Linked DNA regions of Rattus norvegicus. The protein of the gene in region 1 purifies or fractionates together with the protein of each later gene. This does not show direct contact. Links are inferred from orthologs where the notes say so. Each region holds a gene or a part of one and is shown in the gene's direction. Other genes may lie near its edges.

The links.
Region 2: the proteins of Nufip1 (region 1) and Znhit6 purify together in Homo sapiens (affinity purification with western blotting; 3 studies listed by BioGRID and IntAct, with this or other methods). This does not show direct contact. The link is inferred for Rattus norvegicus from reciprocal best matches to the Homo sapiens genes NUFIP1 and ZNHIT6.

Annotation. Positions count from the first base shown.
Region 1 is NC_086033.1:57,837,479-57,841,744, forward strand, and holds the start of Nufip1 (FMR1-interacting protein NUFIP1), read left to right. Parts: upstream 1-1,385; 5' UTR 1,386-1,388; coding exon 1,389-1,782; intron 1,783-2,377; coding exon 2,378-2,457; intron 2,458-4,262; coding exon 4,263-4,266. Other genes in the region: Gpalpp1 (GPALPP motifs-containing protein 1), read right to left, coding at 1,075-1,162. UniProt on the Homo sapiens protein: Binds RNA.
Region 2 is NC_086020.1:237,164,076-237,167,891, forward strand, and holds part of Znhit6 (box C/D snoRNA protein 1), read left to right. Parts: intron 1-628; coding exon 629-709; intron 710-2,180; coding exon 2,181-2,258; intron 2,259-3,816. UniProt on the Homo sapiens protein: Required for box C/D snoRNAs accumulation involved in snoRNA processing, snoRNA transport to the nucleolus and ribosome biogenesis.

The DNA of each region.
Region 1 (4,266 bases):
AAGCACTTATATTGAAACAGTAAAAACATGTGTCTGTGTGGAGGGGGGAAATTTGGAAGACAATGGCCAGGAAAGGTTACTATGTAAGTGATGAGACAACAGTGGTCACAATCCAAAAGAACATTCTAGACAGGAAGAATCAGCAGGAGAGAACAAGCTATGCACTCTCCACCGATGCTGGAGGCTGAACGTCTAACCCAAAGGAAGGAAAGGCTCCAAGCTTTGGAGTTGGAGTCTTTGGCTTTGAATCTGTACTCTGCCACTTACTACTATATGGATTGCATCCGTTAGTTAGCTTGCCTCTGTTACTTTGTTGCTCTGTAAAATGTGGCTGATAAAGTTTAAGTCTAGACCAGGAGTCCTCACTAGAAGGAAACTCCGAAGAATGTTACAAAGATGAACCCTGAGGGCACTTATGAAAAGCTCTACAGTTAAAAGTAGCTGTCACCATTTGTAACACATGCACCATCCATCTTTTCTTATACAGTTGGTGGCAATGCTCAGGAAGGTAACACTTAAACTGGTATTTGAAGGACGTTTTAGAGTTGTCAGGTGTTTAAGTACAACCAGAGCAGCCCAAAAAAGCCTATCGTCAAAGCACTGGACTGTGTGAGCACTGGGCTGCGTGTGTGAGATGGAATGCTAGAATGAGGCCAGGAAGTCAGGCTAGGGAGAGGGAGGCACAGGATCTTCAGCGAGAGACTTCTAAATCCGAAGGTATAGAGACACTAGGTTGTAATTTGGACTTCACCACTGACTAGCTGTGTGTCTTAGGTACAAATTCTCCACCCGCTGTCATCGTTTGTAACACACGCACTCTCCATCATCTTTTCTTATACAGTTGATGGAAGGGTTAAACAGACGACCGGACGAAGATTGATCAGTTAGCACAGTCCTGTTCGCATTAATAGCAAATTGGGACTGGTGTCATTTTAATGATGATCAGGTCCCAAACTAATGATGATCAGGTCCCAAACACTCCTGCGTGCCTAGCTTGCTCCTCAGGGTGGACCGCGCCAACTCCGCGGTGGTTGCCAGTCCTTCCCGCGAGTGCTGACGCCCGCTGCTGCTTACCGGGGCTCGGGTCCCGCTCCTGGTCCTCAACTGTTGCGCGCTCCTTGAAGCCAGGCGGCAGTGCCGGCCCGATCAGGTCCCTAGCCATTCGCTGCAACGCACAGTCGCTCAAAGCCCAAGCCCACTTGCACACGCAGTTTAAACACAGCCTGCTGGACCGTAGACTAGGATTTACAGCCAGGGCCGGAAACTTTTCCGGCTTCGTCTGATGACGTAAGCCCGCGATTGGCTCGTTGACAGATGGTCGTAACGGAAGTGACGTCTAATGTTAGTTCCACAATTGCACTTTGGGCTTGCTGTTTGCTCTAGGTGGCATGGCTGAGCCGACTCCTGCCGGGTGGCCTTCAGCCCCGGAACTGACTCCCGCGCCCGGGACTCCGAGCGAAGCGGCGCCGCCTCAGGACAACTGGGTGTACTGGGCCATGCTGCCGCCGCCACCACCTCCTCTGTCGTCCCCGGTGGCGGGGACGGAGCCGTGTCAGAAGGAACAGCCCCACGTGGAGCCCCAGCCTACCTCCGGAGCGTTTCCCCCGTTCGATGCTCAGATTCTTCCCGCGGCGCAGCCTCCTTTTGATGCCCAGGCCCCTCCAGATGGTCAATCTCAGTTCAACGACCAGCAGGCCTGGAATTTCCAAGCCTCGACGCCTTGGTACTGGGGATTGTCTCCTAATGGTTTCCCCACATATAACACGTCCTTCCACTCTCCGGGTAAGCTGCTGTTGATAATGGTCCTTCTTTACTTTCTCTTCCTTTTCTCTCCCAGCTTTCTCTTTTTATCTTGCAGCTTTGCGCTGTAGTTTTGGAGGCTGGTAATGAGTATTTAAAATGTGTCTCACTAGGTTTCCCTCCACCGGGTCATTCAAAATTTATTAATTCAACCCAGCTATAAAACTGGGGGCTACTTACATAGCAGTCAACAAAACATGCAAAAATCCTTACCTTTTGGGAGCTTCTTATCTCCTCAGTGTAGGGAGACAGGATTCAGGAGATAAAAGTGGGTATTAGAAAGAAATGATTATATTATGCATTAGAAAGAGATTGATAAGAGGTGGAGAAATGGGTTGACGACGAAGAGAATCTATTGCTCTTGCAGAGGACCGGAGCTTGGTTCTCAATACCCACACTGGGCGGTTCTTAACTGCCTGTAACTCCAACTTCAAAGGAGCTGATAACTGTCTTCTGGCCTCTCAGGGTACCTGCACTCCATGCTACCTACACATTTTCTGTTTTTATCTAAGAAAAAAAAAAGTGATAAATAATTGTACATTTGCAATCTTAAATGAAACTCTCTTCTCTTTTTTAGCTACACATTCTTATTTTCCACAATCATATGCAAATTACAATGACTTCAATTTGCCTCAAAACAGAAAACAGAAAAAGAAGGTAATTCGGGGATGATAAATGTGGCATTTTGAATCTTACTGTTTACTGCTTTGTTTGTTATGTTGTAACTGTCAGTGTTTTACATCTGTTTTGGACATGTAGAGCTTTACTAGGGTAGTATTTTTAAGGAACTTAGTTGGAAGTAAAATGTTGAAACAGAATAGCACTGAAAAATAAATGATGAAATTATAAGAAAAGAAAGAGAACATTAAAACTGTCTTGGTACACAGGCATAGTAGAGAATTATGCTTACAAATATATGTGAATGTTGAAACTGGTAAAGTTTAAAACCTAGGGTTGAAGGTCCCTTTCACAGGGGTCGTGGATCAGATGTGCTGCCTATCAGATTTTGCATTACGATTCATAACAGTAGCAAAATTACAATTGTAAAGTGGCAACGAAAGTAATGTTATGGTTGGGGTCACCACAGCATGAGGAATATATTAAAGGGCTACAGCATTGGGAAGGTTGAGAACCACTGTTACAAAACTACGAAGATTGGGACTGACAGCTGCAATTTTAGGAGAAGACTGGAGGTCCCAGGTTTTCCTTAACTGAGTTGGAAGCACAGATTGTATTGACCAATCTTTTGCCTTTTTAATTTTTATTTTATTTTTCAAACCCGGGTTTCTCTGTTTAACAGGGCCCTGGATGTCTTGGACTCAATTTTTAGACCAGGTTCAGCTTGCCTCTGCCTCCATAGTGCTGGGATTAAAGGTGTGAGCCACCATCCTGGCAATCTTGCTGTTTTTAATTTAGAAGAATGTGTGATATAAAAGCAGAACTCTCCCCACCCCCTTTCTTTTCTTGTTAAACTCAAGCTATAATCTAATGTTTTTAATTTAGGAGAGTTTATATTACCCACATAGTGTGGATGTCTTAAATTCAGGCAGGATTTATTGTGTTATTGGTGTTGTTTGTCCTGGTTGTAAGGATTCCATCTTTTCATTTGTCATTGTTATGAAGGCCTTTTTCTTATTTTACATTTATTTTTGTTGGGGGTGGGTGTGTCTGTGAGGAGTTAAGAAAATAACTTGCAGGCGTTAATTATCCTACCATGGGTCCTGGGGATTGAACTCAGGTCCGAAGGCTTGGCAGCAGGTGCTTCTCCCCGCTGAGGCATCTCTCTGGCCTGGAACCAGTTTTTTCAAATGAGGAACGATGCCTGGTTATACGTCACAAGAAAATGCTACATAAAATGGGTCTTCTTTATTCTGGCCTGAACCTAACTTACAGGCTGGGTTTCCTCTTTTCCGTGTAAGTCTCACAATTAGTTTGGAGTAAGTTGACTAATGTTTAGAACATGAAATTAGTGTTCTCTTACTGTGAAAACTGTGTGACTTGAACTGTTAATATTACAAGAGTACAGTATGTCAACTAACAGTCCATTTAATGTTAACAGTAGCGTAACCCTTAGAAAATGGAGATCAGTTTCCATATAGTAATATCCTCTGTAAGATGCTTGGTATTTGTAGAACTAACAGGTCAGTATCAGATCTTCGTAACGGTCTCCAGCTTGAAATCTACAGTTTGCATTTACTCTTTTTAGATTTAAATTTTGCTCATTGTGCCTGACTTTTGCTATATTGATAAATAGAGGAAGTCATCCCACCCCAGGAGTGTTTTTTTTCCGGAGCTGAGGACCGAACCCAGGGCCTTGAGCTTGCTAAGCAAGTGCTCTACCACTGAGCTAAATCCCCAACCCTAGGAGTGTGTTTTAAAACAAATCAAATATGTCTTCTTGGAATAGTTGTGTTTGGTTAAGAGATTACCCAAGAAGTCTTACTGCTTCTTTTGCCTTGCAGAAAA
Region 2 (3,816 bases), on another chromosome or scaffold:
GTCTTTGGAATCCTCGTGGGGAATTAGCATAGAATTGTGTTACCCAGCAGAAGGCAGGACTGGTCTTGCCTAATACACAGGGGTGTGACAGAAGTGGTTCCATGAGTTAAGTTGCGAGCATAAGTTTCTGTTTCAGAGGAGCCTTAAATGTGTTCCGCAGTGTTTATGGATACTATAGCTGTGTGCATGTACAGGAAAGTGTGAAAACCTAAAGTGCCTCATTCCGGGGAAGTTGGTGTCCTCTTTAAAGCCTGATTGTGGCTCTGACTGGAACCCTGGCTGCATGGCAGCCGCCTGGGCATTCCTCAGATGTATCTTTAAAGTCTGAACATAGATGTCCATTAAAAGCAGCTTCATGTTTTTATAAGTGATTGATAAGGAGGTTTCTAAATTTTTAAAGACTCTATCATTTTTATCATTATATTTATTGTTATAGTTTTGTTCCTAGGAAGTTTTTCTGTGCTTCCCTTCTACAAAAACTTATCATGAAAGAATGTTTTATGCTATATCTTGCCAAGAGTCCTTAAAGGGTCCTTGTCAGTTTTTACACCAAATTCAGTAATTTTAAGTTAACACTTCGTAGCAATTATAAGTAATAATGTAGCTATTTTTCTTCTCTCTTGGAAAGAGTACCAGATGATAAAACCATTAATGAAATTCTAAAACCTTACATCGATCCCGAAAAGTCTGATCCTGTGATTCGTCAGAGGTATGTTTCAAAAATCTTGTAGCTTTCTGACAAGATTTAAAATGTTGACTTAAAATGTTGTATGACTGCACTTTGCACACACTTGCTTCAGAACACATATGGAGTACAGAAAGCTTCGGAGAATGCCTCTCTCCTTCACCATGCGGCTCTCAAGTTAGAACTTAGACCCCCAGGCCGCACCACAAGCATCCTTACTTGCTGGGTCATCTTGCTGGATGGTATTTGTTTTCAGGTGGTATTTGTTACAGGAAGTTGTGGCTATATTTAAATATGTCGTTGAAATTGCTGTGGTTCAGTCACTGTAAAACTAGTGCCATTTACTGTACCACAAATACTCCTCAGATAGATAGTATTGGAATTCATTTAACTGTTGCAGCAGCTCTGTGTGGTCAGACACTAACTCATACCCATTTTACAGATGAAGAAACTGAGCCTTAAGTAGGTTAAATAACCCCCTATGAACCAATAAGCAAGGAAGCTGGGATTCAGATCCTTTTGGGACTGAAGTCTGCAGTCTCAGCTTTAGACCAGACTGCCGTTCACATTGAACCAAAAATTCTAAAACTTAAAGCTTTTCTAGTAACTGTTTAAAAAAGACAGGAAATTGTATTTCAGCCAAGTCCTCAAAGAACTAAATAAGGTTATACTCTGCCTCCAGAACTACAGCATGGTCAAAAGTGGCTAGCACAGCTTAGTGGACAGTTTGATCCTGGATATACAAATTAAATAGCTATCTTTGTCTGCCTCTTGGGAACTGTGTGGTCAGAGCAGACTGCTTCACCACCATGCTTTCCTTTCCCCATCAGTGGAATTAGAATAATACCAAGGAAACGTCAGGAAGTGTGAGAGAGAGAAGTATCAGGTCTTCAGGGCCTGGCATTCTCTCAGCAGTGCTCAGACGTGAAGCTTGGTAGTGGGTTGGTCTCCTGTCAGTGTTCCCGGGCAGGAGTGGAGCGACTTTCTTCTGGAGGTGGGAGTGCGGGTTTGGTTCCCAGAGGGTTGAAGTTTGCACCAGGTGGACCCTGAGTGTCTGATGTCATCCTGTTGTCTCTCACTATTGAAGAAGACAGTGCCAGCCAGACTCCTGCAGGCTGTGCAGGGGCTAGCCTTGTCTATGGGGCAGCTCTGAGATGATCAGCTGATAATCTGGTTATCCTTGCTCAGATACTTGGCGTTGGTGGGAAGCATTCGTTACTAAGGCGAAGGCAGTGTATTGTGAGCAGCGGGCTGCTGGTGCAAGTGTGTTAGGCACATGTAGACTTCAGATGTGCAACCAGCTCTAGCTAGGTATTGCTTTTACATCTTGCTTAGAAAACATCTTTTTTTCTCTCTCAATTTTTGGATAAACGAATTATAAACATTAGCTACTCATAAATGTGTTTAGTCTCTATAAAGACTATCTTGAAATAGATTAAAAATTAATTTTGGAAAAAAATTAATTTTGCTTCCTCCATGCATTGTTTTCTTTCAGATTGAAAGCCTACACACAGTCCCAGACTGGGGTCCAAATTTTAATGAGGGTCGAAAATATGCAACAAAATTTGATAAGGTAAAATGATTTCCCTTGTTTCTCTATGTGTAATGAACTAGCTTGATTGGGTTAAGTAGCTAACTATTATACTGATTTGTTTTGCTGTCAACAAAAATCTAGAACTCTAAACTTACCACTTTCAAGTTTAAATACTAAATAATCCCACACTTACAAGTTTTATAGCAATCGCCTGTCTGTTTTTGTGGCTTTTCAAGGCAGAATTTCTCTGTGTAGTCCTGGCTGCCTTGGATCTTGGACCAGGCTGGCCTCAAACTCACAGAGATCCACTGGCCTGTCTCCTGGGCGGTGTGATTAAAGGTATGTGCCAGCATGCTGGGCTGAGCATTTTAACATATCCTCGGGAATAGCCAAAAAGTCCCGCATATCTCAAGAATGTGAGTTCCGATGTTCATTCATAGTTTTGGAAGCTCAAACTCACATAATCAGGCGGCTACTGCTGCACACGCTGTCTTAGAAAGACCGCCACATAGAAAGACAAAGAGGGATTCGGGCAAGCCATGAGCTGAGAAAGGATCACTGGGCTTTGCTCATCAATGACTAGATCACTTCTGGAGCCAGTTCTCCACCACTAAGCTGCAACAACTCCTTGTGCTAGGCTGCTACTGATGGGTGATAGTAAAAGTGCTGGCCATCTTGGTTCCTCAAATCTCTAGCTTTAATCTTCTGCATTGAAAGGAAAGAAAGTATGGGGGGGGGGGGGTGTTGTGCTATCTGAGGTAACTGCAAGAAGCAGACATCACCGTTCAGGGACTGTACAGATGGTTTGCTTGTTGTTCGCATCAGTACTTGAACCTGACACCAGATTACTTTTAAAAGTGAAATAATAATTCATTTTAGTTATTTTTAGTATGAACTTGTTGTGGTTACCTTATACATACCTATTCAGGTAGCCTGATAATTTACCAGACCTGGGGAAGGCAGCCCGGATCATTCTTATGCAGTCAAAAAACAAAAGGAAATTATTTGCATTCTGGGCTTGTTTGTTTATTGGTTATTTGGTTTGTTTAGGTTGCTATATTGTTCCCATTTTCCTTCATTAACTGTAAGGTGAGGTTTATTCTGCTTGGATTTAAGCCATGGTAGCTTGGTCTGTGGACAGTGAACCAAGGTAGGAAGTGCTCATTAAACTGGTCAGATCTGCCTGTTGGGCACAGTGTTCACATCCAAAACTCAAGGACGTCAGTGTATTTTTGATAAAAGATAATTATAGGATACTCAAGACTACAGTACAGACGGCTGGGCTGATGGTAAATATTTTAACACTAGAAGTTTGTGTTAACAAAGACAAACTGTAGAAGACAGAAGAGCAGCAGAAGTGCTTGTCAGAGGACATGAGGCGGAGAGCAGGTCAGTGAACGGTCAGTCTGGAACCAGTCAACTTGGGAAGACTTAGACAGTCGGTCCCAGCAGTGAGCCTGAGCTTACACCTCATTTGCTACAACTGAATTTCCTAAGAGAACGGCCTGTTTTTATTAGTTATATGACTGAGATCCCTTATCAGTGAATGTTGTTTAGTGAGAGATAACAGCATTGTCTTTCCAGAGTACACAATTTA